5 linked regions of the Kluyveromyces lactis genome follow. The protein of the gene in region 1 interacts with the protein of each later gene in a biochemical or structural test. Links are inferred from orthologs where the notes say so. Each region holds a gene or a part of one and is shown in the gene's direction. Other genes may lie near its edges. The genes, in order: IPL1, CBF2, DAM1, ASK1 and SPC34.

The links.
Region 2: of the proteins of IPL1 (region 1) and CBF2, one has a biochemical effect on the other in vitro, tested with the Saccharomyces cerevisiae proteins (2 studies listed by BioGRID). The link is inferred for Kluyveromyces lactis from reciprocal best matches to the Saccharomyces cerevisiae genes IPL1 and CBF2.
Region 3: of the proteins of IPL1 (region 1) and DAM1, one has a biochemical effect on the other in vitro, tested with the Saccharomyces cerevisiae proteins (7 studies listed by BioGRID). The link is inferred for Kluyveromyces lactis from reciprocal best matches to the Saccharomyces cerevisiae genes IPL1 and DAM1.
Region 4: of the proteins of IPL1 (region 1) and ASK1, one has a biochemical effect on the other in vitro, tested with the Saccharomyces cerevisiae proteins (2 studies listed by BioGRID). The link is inferred for Kluyveromyces lactis from reciprocal best matches to the Saccharomyces cerevisiae genes IPL1 and ASK1.
Region 5: of the proteins of IPL1 (region 1) and SPC34, one has a biochemical effect on the other in vitro, tested with the Saccharomyces cerevisiae proteins (2 studies listed by BioGRID). The link is inferred for Kluyveromyces lactis from reciprocal best matches to the Saccharomyces cerevisiae genes IPL1 and SPC34.

The regions. Positions count from the first base shown.
Region 1 is NC_006038.1:204,607-210,505, reverse strand, and holds IPL1 (aurora kinase), read left to right. Parts: upstream 1-2,557; coding exon 2,558-3,643; downstream 3,644-5,899. Other genes in the region: RKM1 (protein-lysine N-methyltransferase), read right to left, coding at 38-1,822; MRH4 (ATP-dependent RNA helicase), read right to left, coding at 3,706-5,460. UniProt on the Saccharomyces cerevisiae protein: Component of the chromosomal passenger complex (CPC), a complex that acts as a key regulator of chromosome segregation and cytokinesis.
Region 2 is NC_006041.1:344,164-351,315, reverse strand, and holds CBF2 (Cbf2p), read left to right. Parts: upstream 1-3,289; coding exon 3,290-5,500; downstream 5,501-7,152. Other genes in the region: KLLA0_E03829g (MFS transporter), read right to left, coding at 1-1,532; KLLA0_E03785g (uncharacterized protein), read left to right, coding at 5,679-6,965.
Region 3 is NC_006038.1:997,962-1,003,619, reverse strand, and holds DAM1 (Dam1p), read left to right. Parts: upstream 1-2,788; coding exon 2,789-3,730; downstream 3,731-5,658. Other genes in the region: MRPS5 (mitochondrial 37S ribosomal protein uS5m), read left to right, coding at 1-812; cytochrome oxidase assembly protein SHY1, read left to right, coding at 1,193-2,305; high-affinity Cu transporter CTR1, read left to right, coding at 4,369-5,277. UniProt on the Saccharomyces cerevisiae protein: Component of the DASH complex that connects microtubules with kinetochores and couples microtubule depolymerisation to chromosome movement; it is involved in retrieving kinetochores to the spindle poles before their re-orientation on the spindle in early mitosis and allows microtubule depolymerization to pull chromosomes apart and resist detachment during anaphase.
Region 4 is NC_006039.1:1,070,562-1,075,916, forward strand, and holds ASK1 (Ask1p), read left to right. Parts: upstream 1-2,901; coding exon 2,902-3,558; downstream 3,559-5,355. Other genes in the region: LPX2 (Lpx2p), read left to right, coding at 1-696; SFK1 (Sfk1p), read right to left, coding at 1,081-2,007; MDM35 (Mdm35p), read left to right, coding at 3,809-4,063; DNA damage-responsive RNA polymerase-degradation factor DEF1, read left to right, coding at 4,987-5,355. UniProt on the Saccharomyces cerevisiae protein: Component of the DASH complex that connects microtubules with kinetochores and couples microtubule depolymerisation to chromosome movement; it is involved in retrieving kinetochores to the spindle poles before their re-orientation on the spindle in early mitosis and allows microtubule depolymerization to pull chromosomes apart and resist detachment during anaphase.
Region 5 is NC_006042.1:1,996,436-2,002,034, reverse strand, and holds SPC34 (Spc34p), read left to right. Parts: upstream 1-2,403; coding exon 2,404-3,231; downstream 3,232-5,599. Other genes in the region: KAE1 (tRNA N6-adenosine threonylcarbamoyltransferase), read left to right, coding at 901-2,058; KLLA0_F21406g (WD repeat MDV1/CAF4 family protein), read left to right, coding at 3,658-5,599. UniProt on the Saccharomyces cerevisiae protein: Component of the DASH complex that connects microtubules with kinetochores and couples microtubule depolymerisation to chromosome movement; it is involved in retrieving kinetochores to the spindle poles before their re-orientation on the spindle in early mitosis and allows microtubule depolymerization to pull chromosomes apart and resist detachment during anaphase.

The DNA.
Region 1 (5,899 bases):
GGAGAGGTCATAATATCTTAAAATCTTTATCGAGTGTTTAGGAGTAGTGGATGTCTATGCACTTTGTAAATACTGGCACAGAATTCGAAGCGGATGATTCCATGAGGAACGTCTCATTATTGATAAAAGTTGCGATACAGTCCATGGTTTTCACTGAGATTCTATCGTTACCATTGGGGAAGAAATAGTTATGTAGACTTTTTCCTGCGTTAGAAATTTGAGAGTCTTCGGTGTAATGTGAGAAGTAATTAGTAAATTGATCTTGTACCCAGAGGTATTCGGAAGCTTCTTTGCTGCGTGCGAGCTTTTGAGTTCTCACCATCAACCAGGCGACTGCATATTCAAATTCATCTATTAAATCTGCCGGTGCGGCATTGTTGGTTTGGTCGTATAGTTCGTGATAGTCTTTCTGAAAATCCCGGTCATGTTTCATAATGCTCTTTATGCTTGCTAGATATGGTTTGTAGGCAGTCAGTATGTGTTTTTGTAACCTCTTTATATTATTGATAGAATCCTTTAGAATCGAGATTTGCCCGGATTTGTAAATCGCCGCACATTGTTTCCTATATTCACATGTAGCATAATCCTTTTGTGATTCCAATGGTTCTGCATCAATTATTAGGTACAATTTTTGTTTCAATGCATTCTTCAACGATTGTAGTGCTGTCAGTTGGCATCTTAATGATAGTGCACTTTCATTATCGTTTTTACTCAGAAGTGAGAAAAGATCCATTAACGGTTTCAAATTTTCTAGATCAGCATTGATAAAATAAAGGATTCCATCAGCAAAATTTTCCAGGGCTTTCAATGGTTTGGTATCGTTTGTCTTTTTCTGGTTTCCACGGGTATCCTTTACTGTATCGAAAGCGTAAGTTGTGTAGTCATCAAATGTTGGAAGGTATACAGAACCATCTGCTAAAATCTTCTCAACTACTGGTAAAGGCAACTTGAGTTTCAATGCAAGGTTATCGAATTCGTTCCCATCGACTACGAATCCATATCCATATAATAACTCTTCGTTTCCTTTAGCACCGTAATTATTGCATATTTCAGTTCCTTTTGAAACTGGTTCGAGTTTTTCAAATATAAAACTTCCTTCACTGGAACATGACCACTGAATCTTTGATCTATTCTCATGGTTTAAAAGGTCTAATACTGGTAATAATATCACATTATATTCATCACAATATGGGTTTATTACTCTCTCTGGGAACGCTCTTGAAGTAAACATTAGATGAGACCATAAGAACGCTGGAAAAGAGAAGAAGTCCAAAATCTTCTCAGAAAATACTTTACTCGTTATTTGCTCGTATATTTCATCAATACTGAGCTGTTCAATGTTGTACTGTCGCGTTTGAAAAGAAGTCCCCTCTATGACATTCCACCATTCGTCGTATATCGATTGTAGCTTTTCCTTTAGAGATGTGTAAAGGTTTGTCCCATTCAGCAGAGCAAGCTCAGATGGATTCCATCCCAACGGAGAATCTACCTGTGATGGTAAAGCCATAATGTATGGTCTGAATAGCTTTGTGATGTTTTCATTATCCAAAATGATCATCTCATCTGAAAACTTTAGCTTGCTCAAAAACAGTTTCAACCATGTATTGTGATGTTCTTTGCTTTTCACTTGATCTCTAAAGTGTTTGTTCGAAAGATCCTTGGTAATTATCAGATGGCTGGGCAATTGAAAGACAGCTTGCTCTATGTCATCACTAGCAATGCAACAGATACCCTTCCCCTCCACGTTCTTAAATCCAACATTTTGTGGAAGTGAAACTCCATTGTCCTTGGCAAATGCCAGCAATTGGTCCAATTTATCCATTATTAATATATCTTTGTCGTGTAGCTTTCGAAACTTGAGCACTTGATAGGCATTCCCCTGGATCAAGATAGTTGTCCTCCTTGAAGTTTACGGCTCATCTCATGTGCATCAGTAATCTATCGTAAATATTACGCTAATGCGTGTGGTAGGGTAACTTTCATTTTTTTCCTTAAGATCTGCGAGCTGAATCATCACTACCATGGCGTAAAGAGCCGATTTGAGGCCTCTTTATTCCTCTTGATCTATAGTTTCCCAACGGATTACTTCGACCAAGTTCGTGCTACCCTAAATACACTGAAATTTCTTCACTGATAACTATGGATTCAATTTAAATGATGAAAGTTTATTTCTGGTCAAACATGATTACTACATGACATAGCGCCTACAGTAAAAACTCATGCTAGAACGGGGACACGATAAGTCCATCAAGAATCAAAAAGACCCATTATGCATATCATACAAATGACAAAAGTGAAAAGCAATCACCTAGCCTTGACAACTATAGCTTTATACTAGATCTATCGCGGTCTATGTCTTTCTACGTCTTCTTCTGCTTCACTATAATGGATTCCGTTTGTTTACCTTTGGAGAGGGAAAATGTAAATAATGAAATGAATCTGATTCAGGTTAAAGAACGTCACCTTGAAGAGTGTAAAACTGTGTCATAAAGCCAGGTCAAGATCCGACGGCGGATGTGCAACGGTACTATCAGACATCAAGATTAATATATTGAACATGAGACCATCGTTATCGAGGGATGCAAGTGATACAGGAAGAAGGCATTCATTGTTACAGCAGAGTAAACTATTATCGATAAGACTAAGTAATGCAGGAAAACGACCTAGCTTATCACGAGGACACGCACATGAAAAAGACTCGATTACCTCGTCTCATCATAGGTTGAGCACTGGACCAGTGAACAACAATCCTAGAAGATCGCTAATGGTAAAGAAACCCAACACCGCGCATGGTACCCGCGTACCAATATTGAATGATCACAACGATAAGTTTGAAAACATGACACTTCAGGACTTTGAAATAGGTAAGATCTTAGGTAAAGGTAAGTTTGGTAAAGTTTATTGCGTTAAACATAGGGAAACGGGGCTAATTTGTGCTTTAAAAGCGATGGAAAAGAAGGAAATTGTTCAATATACAATTCAGAAACAGTTCAGGAGGGAGGTAGAAATTCAGGGTTCGTTCAAACATAAAAATCTGACACAGCTATATGGATTCTTTTACGACGAAAAACGGGTTTATCTACTTATGGAATATGTCTATTACGGAGAACTATATAAATTTTTGAAGAATAACGGGCCTTTGAATGAGACGCTGGCATCCTATTTTGTTTATCAAATGGCTAATGCCTTGGATTATATGCATAGTAAAAACATATTGCATAGAGATATAAAACCGGAGAATATCTTAATTGGTTTCAACAACACTATCAAACTGACAGATTTCGGTTGGAGTGTATATAACGAGGATGGACAAAAGAGGAAGACTTTATGCGGAACTATAGATTACCTTTCACCAGAGCTCATTAAATCTAGAGAATATAACAATAAAGTAGATGTTTGGGCCCTAGGAGTTCTAACTTATGAGCTATTAGTTGGATCGCCACCTTTTGAGGAGGATACAAAGGAAATGACATATAGAAGAATTTTGAGGTGCGATCTCAAGTTCCCACTAAATGTTTCACCGCAGGCAAGAGATCTCATTGTAAGATTGCTGCAATTTGAACCTTCCAAGAGAATCCCCCTCTCGGAAGTTAAATCTCATGCATGGATTGCAAATAATCGAGGTTCTTGGACAGATCTTTAGTATTTATCATGTTTAGATTTCTATATACAAGTGGAAGAGAATCTATAAATTAGTTAGCTTTGCTAGGAAATGGAAACGTTCTTTGAAACAATTGATGGTATAGCTTTGACCCAATTTTTTACTCGTTTTCCAGTAATTATAAATACAGACCCTTTTTGATTCATTCTTCCTGTTCTTCCAACTCGATGGACCAAATCCACCGGAGTATTTGGAATATCATATAGAACAACGTATCGACAACCTCTGAAATTTATACCTCTTGCTAGAACATCTGTCGTTACTAGAACCTTCAAAGTGCTTTCAACAAATGCTTCATTGTCTTCTGGTATTTCTTCAATCACAATATTTGAGTTGGGTATCTTCATTGTTACTGTGTTTTCTGTAGTCACTTTTTCTGATTTACGGGTTGTCATCTTCTTAGGAGGATCCATGAAAGGTTTGATTTTTTCCAGACGTTCTTCAACAGAATCATTACCGGTCAAGGCAACAACGTCGTGTCCATATTGGTTGGCTAGTTTAGTTGCGACAAGTGGAACATTTTCTTTCTCATTCACGAAAATTACTACCCTTTTTTCGAAACCAGGGTCGATGTTGTCTCTATTAATTGAGTATAATATTTGAGCCAGAGCTTTGGTCTTTGATCCCTTGTATGGGGCCATATCTGCGTTAATTAATTTGATTTGATTCTTGTGATTAATCTTATGAAGATTTGGGGAAGCAATTACTCCAACGGTAGGGAATAATCTGGTGATCGTCTTTTGGAACTCTTTTGGAATAGTAGCCGAACAGAACAAAACGTGATTTAAGTTTTGCATGTGCTTTATCGTGGAATAAGAGTCTTCGACCCATGATTTATCCAAAAGTGTATCTGCTTCATCCATGACTAAAAACTTCACTTGTGAAAGGATTCTGTCGGGCCTGTTCACCATAGATATGTTAAACAAACTTAAGATCTTTCCTGGGGTTGTGACCATGATATCAATTCTACCCTTCAAGGCCTCAACGAATCCCTTGTAAGAGGAACCTGCATCCCATTTATACGTGTGCATTCCGAGTGCAGGTTCTAGTTTAGACACTGTCTGGTATACTTGTTCTACAAGTTCATGAGTTGGTAACAATATTATGGACCTAACGATGGCTTTGTCTTTCAAAGTTTCCCATGAAGGATTTTCCATTTCTGTTCTCTTAAGATAATCCACCAAAGGAATCAAATAAGCCATAGTCTTACCAGAACCCGTCTCTGCAGCTATAAGACGGACTTGTAACTGAGGGTCCATTAAAGTTTTAGACGTCTGGTAGATAGCAGTAGTCTGGATTGGTGATGGTTTCAAATGTTTCTTGAATTCTTGTACATTATTCTCTTTTGGATTATACTTCACGTCCAGTAAATTCTTATTTAGCAATGATTCGCTTGAAATCACCTCCATAAGTTTGTCCCTTACCTCTGGTAAAATCTTCAACTGACTGAAATCATTTATCTTAGACACTAACCTCTTTGACCTTTCCAATATCTTTGGATCGCCTTCCGATAGTTTCCCATACTCACCATACTGGAACTGCTGTTGCGTCTGCTCTTGTGAGGGCTTTGCGCGGGAATCGCTCCTCGAATGTGACCTGTGATCACCTTTCCCATTACTTTTCCTATTCTTCACCGGCGGTTTCGCTTTGGTGTTCCATCTCGTGTCTGCTCTGGGCTTCGATCTTAAATTGGACTTGATACTGGAACCTGAATTCCGTGACACCGCATAACCTCTGGAAGCCAGTGAAATAAAGCCCGATTTGGAGGCGTATGGAAACCTTGAAAATACCGGCTGCATGCTCAACGTTTAGTTACTGCTTAAAGAGTCGGCCTTATGGTCTCTAACCGCATCTCATCTCATCTCATCGCTCGATTAAATATTACATTTCTATGAATGCAAGACTTTTTACATGTACAATAAAGAAAATATGCGGAATTGTCTGAGGAAAAATTGGTACAAAAGGGAAATTAATCATAGTTAAACAGAGTTCTACTTTGTGAAAAAACATTTCAACATTATCATTAAGACCTGCAGAAACAATTGTAGCCAAATATGCTAGCATAGTTGAAAAAAGAGAACTACATTGAGGTTAAATCCCTTATTTAGTCATCACATCTTTTATTTCACATATGCTCATCCAGATCTTTGCCATTTTTTTCATTCTTTTAACATTGCAACAATGAAAAAAAGTTGAAGAAAAAAATGGATTATCGAAATTCACTTCATAGGGACCAAC
Region 2 (7,152 bases), on another chromosome or scaffold:
AGACCAGAAGAAGCTGGACCGACCCAAATAATGTGCTTGTATGACGTAGCACCTAGAATCCAAAGAGCAATAGCAGCAAATGGAGCACCAATCATGGCACCCAATAGACGATCTTCAGGCGTTGGCTTACGTTTGTGAGTCAATGCGACGTAACGAGATTCACACCATGAAGTAGTGGCTAAAGCACCAGATGCACCAATTAAGATTGGAATGAACATTAGACCGATGATGTTATCCTTGTAACCATACAACTTACCAAAAATGACTGGGTAGGCGAAGAAGAAAGCATATAGTAAGGAGTAAATTAAACACACGTAGAAGCACATTAAATCCAAGACTGGTTCAGTGACTGCAAAATACAATGGTCTTAATAAACAGGCACGGACCAATTCTGACACAGACATACCTTGAGCTTCTTGTTCAGTCATAATCTTAGGGTTGTTCAATTCAATTCTTAAACGCTTAGCTCTTTTCTTCAAGATGACTGGTGCATAAGTCTCAGGAATACAGGAAACGATAATCCACATAACACCGGCGAAGGCCATGTTAACCCAGAAGATCAAATCCATTCTATTGGTAGAAATGGCAATAAACCCGTTGACCAAAGGTCCGAAAACTGGACCACAGTATGGAGCGTAAGCGAAAAATGCAATGGCTCTACCACGAGTTTCAGCTGGGAACATATCAGCGATAGAACCACCAACAAGACATAACCCAGAAGAGGACCAAACACCACATAAGAAACGGCAAACCAAAAGAGTACCGATATTTTTCGCAAGAGCACATGGAATGTTGAAGATAACGTAAAGTCCTAGGGAGATGAAATAGGCAACACGTCTACCATAAAGATCAGAAACAGGAGACCAGATTAATGGACCCAATGAGAACCCAATAACCATTAATGAACATGACAAAATGGCAACTTCTTGACTCACATGGAATTTTTCTTCTACAGTGAACAAACCACCGGTGATACATGCAGAACCGTAAGCGACAGCGATAACAAGAACAGACATCAAAATTGTGTATGACCAACGGATCCACAGAGGCCAATTATGAGGATTTTCTGGATCGTTAGTGACAAAGGTAACAAACTCAACTTCTTTATCGATATGACTTGGCAATTCCTCATCGGGCTCCTCGTCGTTTTTCTCTTCGCTACTCGAAGCGTCTTGCCTATCCATCTGTCTAGTCCTAGTCCTTGAGATAGCTGTCGGCGTTCTACCAAGAGAATGTAAGGTAGCCACTGGAACCAACCCTGTTGCTGTCTCCAAGGTATATTCTTCAGGGAAAATAGCGTTTTTAGCGACAGATGTGGTTGGAGCGTTAAAATCAGGGATCGGAACCTCCGAGGTAAGACCCATGTCCTGTAACGATTTAGCAGTTTCAGTTGGGACCAACTTCAAATTGCTGCTACCTGCTTCCCCACCACTTGCAGTGCCAGCACCATCGTAAGGTGCCGGTTCAGGCACGTATGACTGAGGAAACTGTTCCTCATACGAGTCTATCGATTGTAGTTCCTCGTTGTTCATTATTTATTAGAGTGAAAATGTGCGGTATCTGCTGATAGATATAGTTATAAATATAACTTTCCTTAGCGATTATCTGATGTCTCGTTTGAAGACAGAGGAAACTAGAAACAACTACTATAAAAATTTACAAAACACAATATCTACCTTATTAATATATCTCAATTACTACAATGCATACTAATATATATATAAATATGAAAAACTCTTGCTTCAACTAAGCTCATCTTTAAATTTCATATTTCTTCCATGTTCCGGAAAAGAAATCAAACAATAATAAATAAAGCAAAAACAATAACATTGAGAGTTTTACATACAAAAAGGAACCCAAAAGACTCAGTCAGATACCAGGCAGCTCAAAAAAATTTCGAGACAAACGACGAAATCTAACGCTGCATTAAAGCTAAAATAAAGTAGAACTAAAACTCCCTCTAGATGGCTGAGAAAATTTCAGTGACGGCTGCTGGAATATTTAAGGAAAACCCTGTATAAAACAATATACCATATATACCTCTAGTTGCATAGTTCAGAACAACGCGCAACACTTGGCTGTCCAGATCATGGAGAGCACGGACTCTTTTCTCACGGTCTGTAGCCTTTCTGCCACCGTATACTGCCCAACAATTGTAATTCACGCTTTTCATCACTAGTCGCTTCTTGTCATCGTAAGGTGAAGCGATCCCAATTGATCGCACCTATAAAGTGCTGCAGGAAGATGGACTTTTGGATCAAAAAATCTACAAATCCGCTTTTTTTTTTTTCTTTCGAAAGAAAAGGGCAGTAAGAATCATCTCGAAGATAAATACGTGGCTAGTGGTATAAAGGATCTTGAGCAGCTTGGTCTGAACAAGAGAAAAAAACTGGACAGGATGGATAACTGGTTGTGTCCTTAGCCCCGGGTGGAGTGGAACACTAGAAACACGTGTCACTTGTCTTTGAGCGAAGAGTTTGGCCCATAACTGCTGTTGTAGACAACATTCTACCAAAGGAAATGTATCGCCCTTTTTTTTTCCTTTCGGTCTGCTTGATCGTTCCATTGACTGGCAAAATAAACGGATGGTAGATGCTAGCTGAGACTACACATCAACCAATTCCATTTCACCGTTGGTATGTAGTCTAGCCAAAGGCGAGAAACTGGCTCTCTCAAAGATGTTGAAACTGGTTGCTTCATCAATTCTCCTGTTTCACGGGTTTCTAAATCAAACTTTTTTTTTTTCATGCTGCAGCCTGGTTTGATGAAATTTAATGGCTCGGGAAAGGAGGGCATCGGTCAAATTTTTGATATTCGTATAATAACTGGATCACGCTTTTTCCTGTGGACCGGACTTATGTGTTGTTGTTGTTGTTACAAGCATGTAGTGTTACCCGGTGGATATGGCGGAAGAATTGATTCTTTCAAAGAAGCTGTATGTCTGTATAATTTCTTATGTTGTCCTCTCTGGTGGGGTGCATTAGCGGTTCGTATTTGGATCGGGACGAAGGGCAGCACAATCATGGAGTTTTTGAGGTGGTCTTCTTTTATGTTCACGTGACTGTTTTTTTTTTCCAAGATGCATGCTCTTCTCAGTTTCGCTCCCCTCAAAAAAAAAAAAAAAAAAAAAGAGAACAGTTGTCTTTCGCGTATTGTAGTTCTTTTTTTTAACATCCATAATAATAATAAAAACAACAACCATTAACAATAGGAAGTGATACTTATGGAGTTGGTTGGTTTCAGGTTGCTGGCGAAAAGCTAATATAGGCTCCTGTTTTCCTCAAGTTGAATGTCCAAACTTGATTCTCTTTTGAAAGAATTGCCTACACGAACAGCTCATCTATACCGCAGCATATGGCATAAATACACAGAATGGCTGAAAACGATGCCCGATCTCACCGGCGCAGACCTGAAACTTTTCTTGTCTCAAAAGTACATTGTCAAATATATTGCTTCGCATGATGATATCGCGAAGGATCCATTACCTACTTGTGACGCCATGATTTGGTTCTCTCGTGCTTTGGACATCGAAAATAACGATGTTCTTGTATTACAGCAACGGTTATACGGTCTAGTGAAATTGTTAGAGTTTGATTATTCTAATGTTATTGCTATCTTACAAAAGATTTCTATCAATTTATGGAATCCCAGTACGGATTCCTTACAATCAAAACACTTCAAGACTTGCCAGGATAAGCTAAAACTACTCTTGGATTTCCAATGGAAATTCAATACGAATGTGTCTTTCGAAGACAGAACTACTGTGTCGTTGAAAGATTTACAATGTATATTGGATGATGAAAATGGTAAATGTGGATTGGCGCATTCTAGTAAACCTAATTTTGTTCTTGTTCCCAATTTCCAATCACCATTTACTTGTCCAATCTTTACCATGGCAGTGTACTATTATCTACGATTCCACGGTGTGAAAAAGTACTATAAAGGGGATGGTTACCAGATCCTTTCACAATTAGAACATATACCAATAATTAGAGGGAAATCCTTGGATCAATATCCTCGTGAATTGACTCTTGGGAATTGGTACCCAACTATCTTCAAATATTGTCAGCTTCCGTACACTAAAAAACATTGGTTCCAAGTTAACCAAGAGTGGCCTCAATTCCCCGATTTCAGTGACAGTTCAGAGAATACAAGTACTCTGGCTGAATCAGATTCAGAAAACACCATTGGTATTCCTGACTTTTACATTGAAAAGATGAATCGTACTAAACTTCAACCTTGCCCGCAGGTTCACGTGCACTTGTTCCCCACAGACTTACCGCCCGATATTCAGGCAGTGTTCGATCTTTTGAACTCAGTGCTAGTCACTAGCTTACCACTTCTCTATAGAGTGTTTCCCACACATGATATTTTCTTGGACCCATCCTTAAAGACACCGCAGAATATCGCTTTTCTTACCGGCACTCTGCCGCTTGACATAGAGTCTCAAGAGCACCTTTTGGCTCAACTCATCGATAAAACTGGTACTGTCTCCGAATTAGTGCCTAATCCTGTCAAGATAGATCAAAATGAACATACTCTGACACCTATTGGTACCTCACTGTCACAGACTGATATTCCTATGCTTGACCAACTAAAAACCGAATTACAAAAGTTGATTCAATTACAGACTTCGACCGGCTTTTCTCAATTGATTACTGTCCTTCTTGAGATATTCCAAAGGTTGGATTTCAAGAAATCTAACAAGCAATTTGTAATTGATTTATTACAATCATGCAGAAAGGACATGAGAAACAAACTCATGGACCCATGTTCTCTTTCGACTAATTTTGCTGATGAACTCAGCGATGATGAAAATGAGAAAGGAAATAAGACAGGAGCCATTTATGATCCTGAAACTGATAATGGTAATGAAGAGTCTGTGAGCGATTATGAACCATCTTTTAAGAAATCGAAGCCAAATTATACAGAAGAACCTTTATCTGATGATGAAAACATGGAGGAAGTTGCTCAATTGGTAAATCAGCTCATAACTAGGAAATTTAATGAAAATTTGGAACAGCAAACTGATCGGATTATCAGTTCTATACAACCAACGCTTCGTGACATGGTCCGTACTGAGGTTGCAGATGCACTAAACCTTTCCCTAAGAGAAGCTTCGCGTGACAGTGTCAACAAGAAAAACAGTGACGAAAACTTTCAGAATTATTCCTTAACAGAAGATCATTTTGAGATGAATCCCGACTGCTCTGACATCAAATCAATTATTCTAGAATGGTTTACCCCAAATCGTGAATGCGTGCATTCGATGAACAAGAAATATGGAAACAAATGGCGACTGACAGAACCAAATCTGTCCTTGTACAGGATACGGAAGCCAATTGTTCAGTATTACATACATCTAATCAATGTAGAAAACCTCAATAAGTTTGACGCATTGAATAAGCTCGAAGCCGTGCTCGAAAAGCATCACTCCGTTCCGCTTCTCTCTTCCTTCTTGGAGAAAGCCAAGAAAAACGGCTATGCATCTGTCACGTGAACATTTTTTGTTAAGCATGCTTACTTTGCATGAGGTACATAAATGAAAACCGTATAATAGAAAATTGTAACCATATTTAGCAACGAAGCAGTAAAGTTGCTTCTGAACAAAGTCATAACTAGCTAAGAACCTTTCAGTATTTACTTGAAAAGAAAACTATAACGAGCCTGATGAGATTATGAGATTCTATATATTGTTTTTGTACCTATTTGGTACTCTAGTAGCGGCCATCCATCTTGATGACCCGCTTACTAACTTCAACTTTACTCCTCCTATAAAATCTCCTAACGACCTTCTGGACCACGAGCGGACGTTAACTGACGGTGAAATTCCAAGGTATGTTCTAGATCATTCACCGTTGATCCATCTTTACAGCGAAGAAAAATATCTTCCAGGAGACATCCAATCCTTTGTACCGCACTTTCAATTGGTAACATCGAATTATGAGACGGTTGTAAATGAACCTCTGAAAATATCAGATCTCAAGGGTGAATATAACGTTGCAGGGGAAGTTTTATCCAGCGAAACCCTGTATTTACATACTACAGAAAAGTTCGAGGAAGACCCATCTTGGTTACGCGGGACTCATCCTGAATATGGAACAGGATTGACTAGAGATGCTTCATCAATTGTTATAGTCGTTGATAAAGGCAATGGATGGGTAGACGCATATTGGTTCTATTTCTATCCCTTCAATTTGGGTCCATTCATCATGGGTTATGGTCCCTGGGGTAATCACATAGGTGATTGGGAACATTCTTTGGTTCGGTTTTTCAAGGGCGACCCTCAGTATATTTGGATGAGCGCCCATGGGGGCGGCGCGAGTTACACATATAGATGCATAGAAAAAAAGGATAGATGGAGAGTTACTCCAGAGGGGAAATTTGACAAGACTCAAGTGATAAAAAGGCCGTTGTTATTCAGCGCCAGAGGTACACATGCAAACTATGCAAGTGTTGGCCAACATGCCCATGATGTTCCATTTTTCTTCAGTGCATTAAGTGATTTCACAGATAGAGGACCATTATGGGACCCATCTTTGCGTTTCTATGGGTTCACATATGATGGGAAATCTTTCTACGAGAAGGAAGGGCAAGAAATAGGAACATCTTGGTTATACTTTTTGGGACAATGGGGGAACAAACAATTGAAATGGAGTGATCCTAGACAGAAATGGTGTCCTGTCCAATGGAAATATATTGACGGACCCAAGGGACCTGCAGCAAAGAATCTAGTAAGGACAACTCTTTGTGAGCGGAGCAAATGGTGGAACTTCTGGCATGGCTGTCCTGTCAGACGGATGATTAAGAGAGGACAAGGTTTGGATGCAGAAAGAAATGATTTGGTCGGAGATAACTGCGGTATCGCCCTATACAGGATTCGTCCAAAATGGCTACGATCATTATTCCGGCTAATCACTTGGAGGGGAGCGTTTTGCGCATTCATGGATTACTTCACTGGTTGAAATGTAACTAATTATGCATGTAGTCACATGACTCAGTTTCCATTTTCGTCTTTTTTTGCCATTTTTGTTTTGATATTTTTTTAGGGTTCGAATCTCGAGAACCTTCTAGAAGATCAAGGAGCGTTCCATGAAGATTTGATGCATTAGTCAGTTCCAAGCAAAGAACAACACCATCGAGAGAAGGAAA
Region 3 (5,658 bases), about 790 kb from region 1:
AACTACTCAAGTCTATTTCCTTAGCTGATAAAGTAATTCCTGACAATGTAGAGTTCAAACCACAGACAAATGTTGAATTCTCACCACCATATTTGGATAACTTTGCCACATTACATCCTTATTGGGATTATAAACCAAACTCTCCACATCTACATTCAAGCTCATCTTCGGTATTCGTTCAAGAGATGGAAAAGCATCCAGATTTGACTCCTCCTGTGGGTTCATACTTACAAACTGAAGGCAGATCAGATATACAAAACATTGCCAATAATATCCAACTACAGACGGGGTTCGATGCTCAACATATCGCCAGAAAACTAGTGATGAAACCATTGATCTTAAAGATGGTTTCTAATCAAACTGCAAAAGGTAAAATTCCATCCTTCTATTCTCTTGTGGTTGTTGGTGATAAGAATGGTATGGTAGGAATCGGTGAGGGTAAATCCCGTGAAGATATGGCAGAATCCATCAAGAAAGCTCATTGGGATGCAGTGAGGAACTTAAAAGAAGTGCCTAGATTTGAAAAAAGAACTATTTTTGAAGACATAGACTATAGATACCACGGTGTGAAACTATTCTTGAGAGCTGCTAAGCCAGGTTTCGGTCTAAGAGTCAATCACGTAATTTATGAAATTTGTGAATGTGCTGGTATCAAAGATTTAAGTGCAAAAGTTTACAAGAGTAGAAATATCATGAACATAGCCAAGGGTACTATAGACGCTATCACCAAGTCTCAAAAATCTATAGATGAAATTGCTCTAGGTAGAGGTAAGAAAATTGTGGATGTCAAGAAGGTATATTACTCTGCTTGATTTCAACCAACTCCATATTTAAATTACTTTCACTTTTTCTCCTATGAAGAAACTATCTGAACAACCTTCACATGATTCAATTACGACCTAGATGATCATTCTCATAAAACAATCAATACTCAGATCTACGTAACCTTGTACATATTAATATCCCCACAACGTCGGAGTTCCAAATTCTTCTTCACGTGACTTTTAGAATATTTCACACTTTTCTGATCTTTAAAAGATTGGAAAATGAAGATGATGAAAGCAGATGAGTAGTATATCTAATCGCGTATAAACATGATTAGAAAAGCTTTAACTTCTTTGCTGTTACTAATTGTTCAAACGCATTTCAATTCTTAGCGGAAGCTACTAGTATCACACAATTAGCAAAGCATATGTTTCGCTTCATTGTGGCTAGGCCATTCACTGTACCAAAGGTAAGGCCGGTAAGACGACTTTATAGCACGGTCAGGACATCGACTGTTGACTGGAAACCTATCAAAACAAAGAAGACACCTACTGAAGGATTTCAAAAGAAGGAATCACGATGGGGTAAGCGTATTTTTCTAGGACTGATGATTGCCATGCCCGTGATCTCGTTCTACTTAGGAACCTGGCAATTAAGAAGATTGAAATGGAAAACCAATCTAATTGCTTCCTGCGAAGACAAATTAACCTACGATCCTATTCCGTTACCTAAAACGTTTACACCGGATATGTGCGAAGACTGGGAATACCGCAAGTGTACTATGACCGGTAGATTCTTGCATGATGAAGAGATTTTTGTCGGCCCCCGTGTTAGAGGAGGGATCAAGGGGTACGTTTTATATACGCCTTTCATCAGAAAGGATACGGGAGAAAGAATTTTGATTGAACGTGGTTGGATCTCGGAGGAGAAAATCGTTCCATCATCTCGTAACTTGCAACATTTGTCTTTACCTCAAGGCGATAACGTGACAATTACAGTGTTAGTGCGTGCAGCTAAAGATTTGACATCAATGCAATGGAAGAAGGAAGACAGGGAGAGTAGATTGTGGCAAGTCTTGGATATTAAGGATATGACAGAGATGACACATACTTCTCCTATTCATTACCAAGCTCTTTACGATCTGAAAGATCACCATTGGGATGAAGAATCAAAATCTGAGGGTATCGATAACAAAAACCAATCATCTTGGAAATTCTGGTCTAAAAAGAAAACCGAAACAGAACCACAACAAGAAGAATCCGAGAAACCACACGTCAACACGAAGAAAGTAAATACAGCAGATTCGGAGACAGGATTGGAATTTAACGAGTTCCAATTCGTTAAAGCGGGAGTGCCTATTGGTAAAGCACCAAAGATTGATTTGAAGAATAATCATTTACAATATTTAATTACTTGGTATGGGTTATCTCTGCTTTCATCTATCTTCCTTATCATTGCACTAAGACGTGGTCGTGGTTCCGCTATGTCACAGGATGAAATAAAGAGGCAAAAGCTAAAACATGCCAAGAAGTTCATGTGATAAAGAAACACATATTGATATTCTCAGGAATTTCTATCTCGATCCCATCATTTCCTTCAATTTTCTAGTATTCGAGATACTCAAATTCCAATAAATTATATTCAAGCAGTTAATTACTAAACACATAGTAGTATCAACCTTGTTTGTACCTGTAAATACTATTATAGCTATTTTGAATGATTTTCATTCCTGTTGATGAATACTAACTAACTATCGTTGAAATACTTGTACATCGAAAATCGAAAACGTAAATAAAGTAAAGCAAAACAAAAACACGAACAGTAAGGTGTCTCCAAGCAGACAGACGGAATGCGATAGTGTCTCTTTGGGCAACCTGGTATCTAATTTGACATCTCATAGACAGTCTGAGGTAAATTCATTACTTGTTTTTTTTTTTTTTGACCTTTCATCTTAAATTCTCAGGGCTACTTGGCACTATTCCAAACTCAACATAAAACTGCTGGATTCATCTGCTCATAAGATATGTCTCAAAGGCCAAATACTCCACAGCGGGACAGGCCAACTGAATATAGACTATCTTTGTCATCTAATGCAAGCTCAAGAAGATCTAGTTTAGGCAACAACGGTCGAGATCAGCATGCGTCAAATCAAACAATGATTGAAAAATACGTGCTCCCACAATTACAGGAACTTTCGGACTCGATGGTAACACTCGATGGTAACATGACGCACATGAATTTCATTCATGAATCGATAGCGGATTTAAATGAGGCTCTAAGCGCTTTATTATACGGATTGATGTGTAACTCTTGGTGTGTTGATTTCCCGAACATATCTCATGATACTCCGCATGAATTGAAATTAATCCAAAGACTAGAAGAGTTGAAACAAGAAAGACAAGCACTACAGGCGAAACTCAAGCCAAAGGAACTTACCAAAGGAAGCATATTACCTCTTTCAAGACAACCTTTATCACGAGGTTCTCAGATGTTGTATCGTGATGAAAATGTGCCAGGTTCTACTGCAAGCTCGAATGTTAACATTGACATTAACGATGACGAAGATAACACAGCCGCTTCGTTTGTATCCAACCCAACTACTTTCAAACCTCAAATGATATCTTCAGTAGGAGCTTCAACTGACTTTATGGGAAAACAAACGGTAGGCTCCGCGTCATCGAAACTCAGAAGAAGATCCATTCTACATCAAATACGAAACAACGCTGCAATAGGCACTATACCTAATACACTAACAGGTATTACTCCTGGAGAAAGAAAAAGATCACTAGCAGTCAGTGCAAAAAGAATTCCTATCTTGGCAGGATCATCGACTACCGCTGGCTCTGCCTCTTCTGCTAATCGTGAATCTACAAATACAGAGCCCGCTCTACCGAATAGAGTTGTAAGAACAAGACAGAGAACCTATAATCCAAAAAACCTTGCAAGCAGGCCTCCTTTCAGGTAACGAGTTATTTGATACTTCTTACCAGAGCTTTTTTCTAGATACATATTCATACCGTGTGTATATCTACCAAACAATGTAATATTACAACGTCAGTTAACAAAATGAAGAAAAAAAAATTACTGAAGGTACTCAGTAAAGATTGAAGTGCTCTATGAGGCTGCTCTTACCGCTTATCAGTGATACATGAACGTTCTCGTTTCAAGTGAAGTCTCGTTCGATTTACTTTTATTCGAGTTGAGCTTATTGAGCAAATAAAGGCCGCCCTCTTCATTTCATTCTGCAAGGAATTCTGTGAAGAAAAATGACCGAAGTTACAGAGAACATAAATCAATGAAAGAGCTAACATAAAGAATGAGATGAGAAGATTTTGAGAAGGTATTGGTTGTACATTTTAAATATAAGAAAGTGGCATATAAGTGTTTAGCCATACATCTTGATCAGTTCCATTCTAGCTGCTGACGGTTACACACCAGAAACATTGATGTTTTTTTGTTGATTTTAACTCTTTGTTCATTCACGTATTGGGAAGCGATTGACGAAGAAAAGAATAACTGCACAGTTGGCTTGGGTTAATCAAAAGAGCCACAACCGACACTATCCAAAAACCCCATCGACAGATATCAATAAAGCCTTTCAACATGAATATGCACGCAGGTGATACTACCACCTCAGCCAGTGCCATGGCCATGAGTACTAGTACTTCCAGTTCTATGTCTGGAATGGACATGGATGGTGGTTCCGAAATGACTGGAATGAACTCTTATCTCACAAGAAAATATATGAACTATCCCGTTGTCTTTGAGAAACTCTATGCTTCTGATCGCGGTGAAGCATTTGGTATCTTCTTGCTTATCGTTGTTGCTGCCTTTGTATACAAATTCTTGTTATTTGTGAGCTGGTACCTAGAATTGAAATGGTTCAAGAAGGCAGGAGTCAATGAGGAAGCTGAGAACGATGAGGCTACAGGTAAGAACGTGTTATATACTATCGAAGATCTGGAATTACAAAGGCAATTCTTGCCAACTAGTTTCGGCAAATTCATGTTCAACGTTTTCGCCCCAGACTGGGTTGATTTCTTCCATGATTTTGTACGGTTATTGATCACTTTTTGTTCTACCATGATAATATATATGTTGATGCTTGTTGCTATGACATTCGTACTTGCATACGTGTTTGCTGTCATACTCGGGTTATCTCTGGCCGAAATCTTCTTTAACAGAATCAAGATCAACATGTTGAAGGCATGGGAATTGAAAAAGGAATGGGAAAGACGTTTCAAGCTTTGCCAATGTGGACCTGGCCCATCTGCCTCTACCGATGATACTAGGTCCTTTGCATCTAGCAAAGCCACTGCTGACGCCGGCTCTACTACACCTCTAAACACGTTTAAATCGTCCGAAAAAGTGCCAAAGAAAGTCGGATGCTGCTGCAATGGTGATGAAGATCCAGAGGAAGAAGCAGAAAGAAAAATTAGAGGCATTGCTACTCAAAGAGAACAGGCGGGAAACATGAACGTAGATTTATTACCTGCTGAAAATTTCAAATAATCTAAGGCTTTTCCAACGTGCTAGAAGAAATGGAATGAGGGTCTTGTGCCATTTAGGTTACTTCAGCTCCTGCTTAGTATTAATCTTTAAATCCTATATATCATGCGTATAAATAATTTAATGACTCGGATAAACAGTTAATATCATGAATTGGCATATAATTTTGAAGTTCGACTGGTTAAGGAATGGTCCACGCATATCAACTATTGTATAAGTTTGGTAAGACTGCTAGGTAGTCGCTCATCTGTCACCAAGTCTTTATATTTTATCACTTCGTACGTGTTGAAAAGTTTGGTTCTGGTTGAAAAACATGGAAATTGGGAATTGAATCTTTAAACGCATTCGAATGATAATTACACGAACGAGTAGTGTTTCCCTTTA
Region 4 (5,355 bases), on another chromosome or scaffold:
AACGAACGTCAAACTGAACTATCAAACACCGAAATTGAAGTAAAGAGGGAAAAACTTAAATTAATTGACGCTATGAAAGAAGTTGCTGAAGTAAAGAATGAGGATAAAATTGACGAAGAAAAGGCCAAGGCTTTCCTGGGAACAACATCTGGAGAATTCCTTGCTAGCCAAAAAAAAGTTGAGCCAGCAACTAAATTGCAATCTGACCCAAAGTTATCAGAACCTTCTTCAAAAAGTACCAAAATTGAAGGTGTTACTGGAAATGTTAAAGCGGATGTCCCTGCCTCTCCACCTGCTCACAAAAAGCATTCAATTGGAGGATTAACCTCTCCATTGAAATCAAAGAAAAAATCTGATAAGGACCAGAAAGGATCTTCTATCAAGAAATTTTTTGGTTTGAAGCCATCTGATCAAAATAAGAATACAAAGACCACGCAACCAACTCCTCTTAAAAGTTCCCCAAAGCCTTCTAATAAACCAGTAACGGCAACTGTCACAACCGAAAAGAAGGAAAATGTTGAACCGAAATCTACAGCAACAGAAACCAAACCTTCACTGGAACCATCATTTAGTGGCTTTAGTCAAGGCTCCGTTCATAATAAAGTCGAACAGTCAGATGCTTCTGAAGTAGAAGGTGGAAAAGAAGAGCCTACTTCCAAGGACAACAGAAAGTCCTTGTTCAAAGAAGTATTTTGATTTGAGCTGTGAACATGGTCTGCTCACATTTTTTTATACTATTGAACTCTAAAACCAATTCATCACGTATATCAAAAAGTTCTTTTTATTGATTGATCTTTTAATTACAGTGTCAGAATGATTCAACTCTTCATAATTTGAAGCCATTTCAAAGTAACAAACCGTTATGTATCACTATGAACTTTATTTTTTTCTCTATCTCATAACACTTTTTAAAATTCCCAGAAGCCTGGTAATTTATTCTGTTCTGTTTATTCTATCTATAATATACTCTATTTTTTGTAAAGTTCTAACTAGTATTATCATTATGCTATATTTCAGAATATCCTTCCGAGTAGTTTATATTTACAACTTCATTAATAATTTCTTGAGAAACTAAGTGAGTTATAGTGCGTTCAACTGATTGTACTTGTAATAGTTCAAATTCTCCGTAATTGTGATTTGATGGAAATACTTGGACTGGGTATATCTTCCGCCAATATACCAGTCAACAGAGACAATAATGAAATATAATCCGAACCAAAATGCCAATAGCCATTCAAAACAGGCAGTCGTTGATCTATCTTCTAAGCATGCAAAACAAATAGCCCAAACGAAAGCAGCTATTACCCAAAATGCCTTTAGTAAGCCACTGATAGTATACTTGTTCCAAACATGGCCGTGCCATTCATTCCACCTTGTGTCTTTGCCGATATCTTCACTACTTGTAAGAGGATGGACGACAGCGTAGTGTCTGCCCATTGTCATATATTGTGCGACATGACAAATTACACTCAATCCGACAAATGCACAGAATATACCCACCATGGAACTGTGCACCCTAGGATACGTGTTTGTTGAGAAGATAGTGCACATAAGCAAAGCCAATTCACCTATACTTCCTAGTACGAATGAGGCCCATACTAGATTCCGTTCATGTTTGGTAAAAAATGGAGGCATGACATATTTCTTCTGAATTAAAGCTTCGATGTAGTTCGATTCCATTATAGAGCTATCGTTAGATTTTTCTAAGTCATCATGATAAGTATACGGTAACTTGAAAGGCCAATGACCAGATCTTTGAAAATACTCTAGAGCAACCATGATTACGTATCCTAGACCTTGCCATGCCGCACAAGAAATAAACAACGGTTTTAAATTGGTCGCACCAATATGGGATATATAAACCGGGAACTGGTCTGTATGCATGAACCAATAAATGGGATGACCTTGTCCTGCCCAACATGCCAACATCGCAATTAGCATCCCATACCATGGAATGAAAGCTATCCAGGGAAAGATAAACCAGTAGTTACCTGGACGTGGAAACATATTAGTATAGTCTTGCGGTTTACGTTTATACCTGTATCAAATCCAATCCTTATGAGAATGTCTACCAGTGATATTCTTTAAAGGAATGAGCTATGTTGACCTTGTCCCGTCAAATTCGGCTGGTATAATATACTCATTCTTTTCCTTATATATCTAAAACCCGACTTCCACGAATAAAAAACAATATAAACTATATTTGACATATTTATATATATATGCTTTTATATGGCATGGCTTGTGTATGGCACTGCAGTGATGCTGTCACTGATGCCTTAAATTACAACTTGCTATTCACTGAATGTAACTGTCAATCGGCTCGATGATACACTAGCTTGAGACACCCTGCGCGATTTCTGGGCGCTTTGTTGCGATATTTGCTCCAGTAAAAAAAAAAGGTTTTCTTTCGATGCTTTACTAATAGGTTTCGAGGCTTAAGAGCAAGGATGGATAACGTAATGGATGATATCTAATTTTCCACTCCGAGTAGGCAGAGCCTTCTAAGCCATTGATACCCTTGAATAGCAGACGTGACCGGTGTCCTTGAATCAGTACGTATTATGTAGTTTAGTTTATACTTTCAGCTTGGAAATATCGTAAGCCTCATCCGAATCAGCCTAGCGCTTCTTCGTTGATCTGCAGAAAGTTACCTTGGCATTGCAGAGACTTTCTTTATGTCATTTCAAATTTCTTCTTAGAGTTACAAGAGGAAATATGAATTTGACCAAAAAGTCAACAAACCGGTTTGACAGAAAGGATTTGGATTTGGAAGTGTAAATAGTGACGGTTACAGGTAACAGGACGCGGTGTCCGTTGTTATAAATATTACAGTAAACAAGGAAAAGGACGCAATTAGTCTGTGCCAATTAGCTAACACTAGGTTTCCTGTTTTACATCATGGATGCAGTGAATATTGAACAAATAGATCAAGAGATCACGTTAAATTTACAATCAATCGATTCAGACCTCTCGTACTGTTTCAACAAGATAACAAAGGATATAATACCGTACGTGACGCGATATGGACAGACTTGTGAAGATATCACGAATTCTAGTTCGTGGCTGAAAGAAATGTTTCAGCAGAGTGCTAATGTTCAGTTGGTGACGGATCAGGCTGTGGAATCTGCGGGTCAGGTTTTGGAGCCCCGGACTTCCTTATTTCCAGAGGTAGAAAACGAAACTGATGAGTTCCATACAGTCGATCAATACCCTGCTTTATCTCAAACCGGAGTAAGTTCCGCTGGTGCCCCCACCACGAAAACAGGAGGATCGGTAAAACAGGATCAATTTCAAGATCAGGATACCGATGAGTTGACTCAGGATAGTGCAATGGAAAAACAGAGGAAGAAGAGAAAAGTTTCGTTACAAATTCACCAACATTTCAATTCGTCGTCATCTTCTAATTCTTCAATGGAGAATGATATCTCTGCAAACAGTTCCCCAATAAAGACGATCCCCCCGGAAACAGAAACTGGGACAGAAACACATAACAAAATCCAGGGCGAATTGGCCAAGCCGGGAACCGTTATTCATTTTAACAGCAAACGCGATTGAAGCTCTGTCTTAGCCTTCCCCCACTCACTTCTATATCATAGTGTGTGAGGTATACATTGTTACTCAGGGTTCCAGATCCTATGACCTGAACGAACAATCACGTGATATAATACTTTCCTTTTTAGTTTCATGCTTCTATAGCTTCGTTTTCAATCGGATTTCTACATGGTGAATTTGACATTCTGATTATGTGCGATGCAGAGACTAAGTGAGTATTCATATACGATACAAGATACGCCACAAAACTACCATGGGTAACGTGATGAGTGCAAGTTTCGCTACAGAGTGTACACCTTTGAAGGGTAAGTACGATAAATGTTTTAACGACTGGTACAGCGAGAAATTTTTGAAAGGTGAGTCAATTGAAAACGAATGCCAAACCGAATGGTACGAATATATGGAATGTGTCCAAGCTAGCTTGGTGAAACAAGGCATAAAACCAGCTCTAGATGAAGCACGTAAGGAAGCACCATTCGAGAATGACGGAAAACCTGTAGAGCCTTGAATTGCGGACCAAAGAAACGCATACATACCTGCGCCATTCGCTATGATGAATCTAAGTATAAAATAAATTAAAATGGGTTTCATTTGAAACCTCTGTAAATAGAGAATACAATACAATACCTAGCGCGTATTTTTGACCACAGTAGGGTTAACATTACCAGGAGTTTCGACTGAAGTTGTACCACCGCTACGTGATTATACCTTAATCCTTTCTCCACCGTAAGTCAGGGCAACGTTCGTCCTTTGTGATATCTGCTGTGCAACTCTCTTAATTGGGGTAGCCTTCAGAGACACCTACATAATTCTGCATATAATAATTCAAACATATCACCTAAATAACTAAAGCACAAGAAGGTCCAGTATAATGACTGCTGTCATATTCTTGTAGAACTTCGTGCCAGCTCCATCTCACTGTTTCTATCTCCTCATTGCAGTACTAGAATAGAATATTCTGATTACCCTCCCTCCTTTTTTACCCTATTGCCACCAATAGAAAAATTGAAATAAGAACATTTTCGATAAAAGTAAAATTTGATTTCGAAAGATCTGGGAAAATAGGAAACAAATATTGTTAAGTTAGATAGCTTAATACTCCAGAGAAAGAGTTCAAGGATTGAAACGGCGTTTAAGAGTTCCATTTTTGTAACGATACCTATCTCGCGTGCTTTTCTTGTTGCGAGCAGATACTAAAATTGTACTTTTTTTGGAAAGAAATTATACTCAACATTTTCCAATAAAGCATTATAAAAAATTTGCATACTTGCTTAAACTTCTAAGATTAACAACAAGCAATCAGAACTACTTCAAGAGAACTACTACTACTCACGCAATCCAATTACAGATTATTACAATAACGATCGCCTTCCCTCTTTTGCTAGCAATAATTTAGGTTCGCACAGTTTTTATCAATAGAAATAATCCCGGATGTCACAATTTAAGAGAAACGCCAGTTCGAAGAAACTGGACTCTGAGACTAAATATAAGCTTGAGACGCTATCAGAATTGTTCCCAGATTGGACAAATGATGATTTAATTGATTTAGTCCGTGAATATGATGATCTAGAAACCATAGTTGATAAGATAACTACTGGAGCAGTGACAAAATGGGACGAAGTGAAGAAACCATCTAAAAAGGAAAAGCCTGCATCGCATATAGAACACCAATCTCATAGTTCTCATCAACAGCTGCAACAACAAGCCGCATCACACCTGGACCCTGAAGATTCTCCTTCTCTAATAAATCAACATCATTCGCATCAAAGACAATCTAGATCCACCTCTAAGTTCAGTAAT
Region 5 (5,599 bases), on another chromosome or scaffold:
TCAGTTGCTAACTGATTTGCATGTTCAGCTCCTTCCTCTAGATTGAGGCTTCATACCTCACAGTGGTGTACGTATTTTAGAAGGTCTTTTATCAAACATTGCTGAAAGTTTATACTATCCCCCAATTAATTGCCCAATGGCAATTAATTCATATATTGAAGAAGTATTTATAACATTCTGTTGTTAATGATAAATATAAAGAGGCTAATGAGATAAAATTAGCTCAGGGAGTTTCACTGTCGTAGTAAAAAGATTTCCGCTGGTTGCAATTAATAAAAGGTATTTTTGCGTTGATTCAAAGGGTGAAATCCATTAATAAATTATCCAAAGATGCACATTGTTAGCACGTGGTTTCGGCTTCCGTACATAAATTAAAGGGAATTCAAGCAACTCAACGAATTAAATAGCTCGCGTGGCGTAATGGCAACGCGTCTGACTTCTAATCAGAAGATTGTGGGTTCGACCCCCACCGTGAGTGCTTTATTTCAAAATCCGCGATAGTTTAATGGTTAGAATTCGCGCTTGTCGCGTGCGAGATCGGGGTTCAATTCCCCGTCGCGGAGATCTTTTTTCATATCGAATCTGAAAATACGTTCTGTACACAATCTTTTCCCCTCAACGAGTGATTGACCAGCTATGACTATGTCTTGCAGTTTGATACACTTTTTCTGTTGTTGCTCCTCTTACTATGCTATCTTTTACTCACAAAATTGGTGTATATGATTTTTTGAAAAATTGGAATCTGAGAAAACCGAAAAGTTGAACTGAGATGAGTTGACTATCTTGATCTGTAATACAACTCCCTGAATATATAGTGTGTCTCACCAGTTCAACGTGTGTTCGTGCGATATTCATTGAAGGTATACCTATTATCGTCAAAAATTCTTTTTTCAGTAAGAGATGGTGAATTTAAACGGCATTCCACCAAGAGGTAAAAGGAACTATTATTTGGCAATTGGTCTTGAAGGATCTGCCAACAAGTTAGGCGTTGGTATTATCAAGCACCCAGTGCTAGAAAAACATGAAGATAGTGACCTTTCGTATGAGTGTGATGTTGAAATATTGGCTAATATTAGAGATACATATGTGACACCGCCAGGAGAAGGGTTTTTACCAAGAGATACTGCAAGACATCATAGGAATTGGGTGGTACGAATCATTAGAAAGGCATTAACGGAGGCCAAGATCGATGATCCCACAAAGATCGATGTGATATGTTTCACTAGAGGACCTGGAATGGGTGCTCCTTTGCATTGTGTGGTTATAGCTGCAAGGACTTTGTCATTGATGTGGGACATACCATTAGTTGGGGTTAACCACTGTGTGGGGCATATCGAGATGGGGAGAGAGATCACAGGAGCTAAAAATCCTGTCGTGCTCTATGTTAGTGGAGGTAACACTCAAGTTATTGCTTACTCCGAGAAAAGATATCGAATCTTTGGTGAAACGTTGGACATCGCCATTGGGAATTGTTTAGACAGATTTGCAAGAACTTTGAAGATACCGAATGCACCATCGCCTGGTTACAACATTGAACAACTGGCTAAACAGTGTAAGAATAAAGAAAAATTAGTGGTATTACCATACACTGTTAAGGGAATGGATCTGTCAATGAGTGGTATTTTGCAATATATTGACACTTTAGCGAAAGACCTATTCAAAAAGAACTTGAAGAATAAATTATTATTTGATTCAAGAACAGGAGAACAGCTTGTGACTGTAGAAGACCTATGTTACTCTTTACAGGAAAATTTATTTGCCATGCTTGTGGAGATTACCGAACGTGCAATGGCCCATGTAAACTCAAACCAAGTGCTAATAGTGGGTGGTGTTGGATGCAACGTTAGGCTTCAAGAGATGATGGCCCAAATGTGTAAAGACAGGTCCAATGGACAAGTACACGCAACTGATGACAGATTCTGTATTGATAATGGTGTGATGATTGCCCAGGCAGGCCTATTAGAGTACAGAACAGGCCACTTTGTTAAGGATCTTTCTGAAACCATTGTCACGCAGAAGTTTAGAACCGATGAGGTTTATATCGCATGGAGAGAATAATAATAGCCAATTCTGATTTTCTTGTTTATTTATCATCATATATAGAATAAAGTAAGCAATAGTTCTCGCTTAGCTTACCCCGATGTAAAGGCCGCATGAGCCTTAAAAGTCTTCTGTCAACCTTTTCCATTAACATAATGCCAACTCTTTTCACGTAAAGATTTCGTAAACACCGAAAACAAAAAAACTAAAATGTAAACATAATCGAGTTAAAAGATAAATGAATCATTTGGAGTATTTCAAGAAATTACATAGTATTGGATGAAATATTGTATTCCATAGCAGTTTCCTGAAAGAGGGTGGTGCCTAATCTGTACGTGTAGTGTTTTTTAACAACATCAAAGGATGTCTGGATCATTAGATTACTGCCTGGATCAGATATCAAAATCCGCGGAGTCAATATCGACCTTATATTTCAAACCGCCAGGCATCTTTAGAAATGCGATTGTACCAGGCAACAGCAAAGTGTACTCAGATCTTATAGTAAAGCTTATAAGAGATGGCGATTCAATTGAAGAAATGTCATTATACAGTACAGATAACGATGGAAATATGAAGCGTAAGGATGGGAAAGTAGGGATATACGATCATCTCTTGGAGAGGGAAGCAACTTTGAAACGGAACAGAGCACTATGTTTACCAGATCCAAGACCTATTACCTACATACCGAAGGGGTTTTATCTCAGTCAAAACGATCATGTCATCCGAAAGAAACAGAAACCTGCAAGAGATTTTATCTTCGAAGGAAGTAACAGCGATGAGCTGGGAATCTACGACGTGCTATTGAAAAAATTCAGCAAGGACGAACAAATCAAGCAATTTCTTCATGCATTGCGGAATGGAAGTGTGATAACTGGCGAGGATGTATCAAGAAGGAAAACTCTTTTCGTAGAAGATTTCCCAATCTCGATTATATTATCTGTGTTCCGGGAAATTATAGATCAATGGCCTCTCACTGAATACAAGGAGAAATTTGAAAAACTAATGCAAATATACAATGGATTACAAGCTGATATTAATGAACTTCAGAAGAAAGTAGAGATCCAGGAGTTAGACTTCCAACACGAAGCGTTACCGGAAAAAACGTCAATATCATCTCTCATCGATAAAGAGGAGAAAGAAATACAGAAGCTCGAGAAACAGTTGGACCTTTTGGAAGGGAGAAATAAGTGAAATCTAGCAGCGGTACTAAAAATCCATTTGATACATTAATAAGTTATATCCAAGAAAAACCGATATGCTTGCCGAAATGAAGTGGAAAGATATATTTCACACTTCGGGAATTAATCTCGCACTGGAATGGAAATATTCATGTAAGTTTCAGTTCAGTATATATCATTTTTGTATTATTAAGGTTCTAATTTTATGATAACGAAATATATCGTAGTTCCATTTCTACGGCATCTTGCTCTTCTACAGAGAATACGGTTTTCGTTCTTTCATATGATTTTATTGCTGCAATGAAAGTTCTAATTTCAGAGTACAAAAAAGTAGATACATGGAAACAAAGAGTTGTTAGTTCCTATTACAACTTCAAATCTTAAAGAAACATATGTTGCGAGCAAAAGCCTCGATAAGAGTGTTAGTGGTGCCAGAACTATGAGTTCTAATACGGGAGACCAGTTTGCCAATCTGGGAAAGGCACTGTCTACCACGGCGTCTGTTCTATTCTCGTCGCAGCCGATGGAAGACACAATTCTTTCATACAGTAGTCCATATAAGAAATTGCTTCATGAGACAATTACTAATGCAGGTGGGGGATCATCACTAGTTAAAGTACGCCACGACGTGAAATTATCTAAAGGCAAGAATACAGGTTTCCAAGATATATATTCCAATAGCAAAGAGTTCTTTAAAAACTCTTATAGTGATCCAAAAACAACATTCAAAGTTTTAAGTTACTTGAGTGATGATCTACTTGAAGACGCCCCACGAGACACTATACCTCAGAACAAGAACATGATAACAGAAAATGGCGAGAAAAGATCTGCAAAGTCAAAAAAGCAAGAACCGACGTTATTTCAAGGATTTGAAGCATCTTTACCTGTTATTAATGAAACGATAGAACTACAGCAAAAACTTATAATGAATAGCGATATGAAACCCTTAACAGACTCTGAGTCCATCCCAGTTTACGCTGAAGAAGAAGAACAAGAGGAAGAGTTTAGTTTGCCAGACCATTTAAAAGCTGATAAACTTCTGCATTCTTACTCCGCATCCTTCTTGAAGGATGCCTCGAGGTCAATCACCGATAACCTGGATTTACTTGAAATCCAGAAAAATCTAGCAGCTAGCGAAATAAGAGAGCTAGATATCAAGCTGGAAAAGTTAAAAATGATGCGTGAACTAGTATTCAAGCGAGTGGCTAAAATTGAGCAGCATGAATTGTTTTTGGAGAAGCATTTGAACAACGTTAAGGATAGAATCGATATGATTATAGAGTACAACATGGATAAAGAATACTCATCGGAGGATGAAGAAAATATAAATGGATTATCTGAACTTTCGCCTAAAACTGGAGAAACTAACGAAACATATGAAACTGCGGCTACCACTCCTTTAGAAAACAAAGAAGAAGAGCACTCTCCATTGCTTTCCAAATCCATCTATCAGCAGCTACAAGACCACGAGAAGAAATCGGATATTTCCGAAAGGAAGAAACATAGTACTTCCAAAAAAATTAAAGATGTTGGTGTTTCTCACCGTAATCGCCGCCGTAAAACTTATCCAACTTTACAACAGTTCTATGATTCCGGATCTAAGATTACAAGCCTTCCTAAGGCCCATGATGAAGATATCACTTGCCTAGATTTTGATATGCCATTTGGTACTATGTGCTCTGCTGGCAGTCTAGATCACTCGGTAAAAGTATGGGATTTAAGTAAAAAAAAACAAATTGCTACATTGCATGGACACTTAGCATCTATCAGTTGCATGCAAATTGATCAATATAGCACCCTGATTACTGGTGGTCGGGACGCAGTTCTGAAATTGTGGGATATCGATAAGGCCATGGCTGATGAAGCGTCAAATTCATCTGAAGATAATGATGCATGTTTATATACCTTTGATTCTCATGTTGATGAAATCACCGCAATAAGTTTTGACGGTGACAATTTGGTTTCTGGTTCTCAGGATAGGACAGTACGTCAATGGGATCTGAATAGTGGTAAGTGCACCCAAACCATAGATATATCTTTCGCAACTGGCCCTATGCGGTCTCAAAGAAACATCCCTCTTCGTAATAGTGTACTTCTAACCAAGGAACCGCCGGCTATTGGAGCTTTACAATGCTTCGATGCTGCCTTGGCGACAGGTACTAAAGATGGTATCGTAAGGCTTTGGGATTTAAGATCCGGGAAAGTAGTACGTATGTTAGAAGGTCATACTGACGCCATCACCTCCCTTCAGTTCGACTCGGTCAATCTAGTTACAGGTGCAATGGACAGAAGTATAAGAATATGGGACTTAAGAACTGGTATACTTTCTGACGTATTTGCATATGAGCAACCGATCACTTCTCTACATTTCGATCTGGATA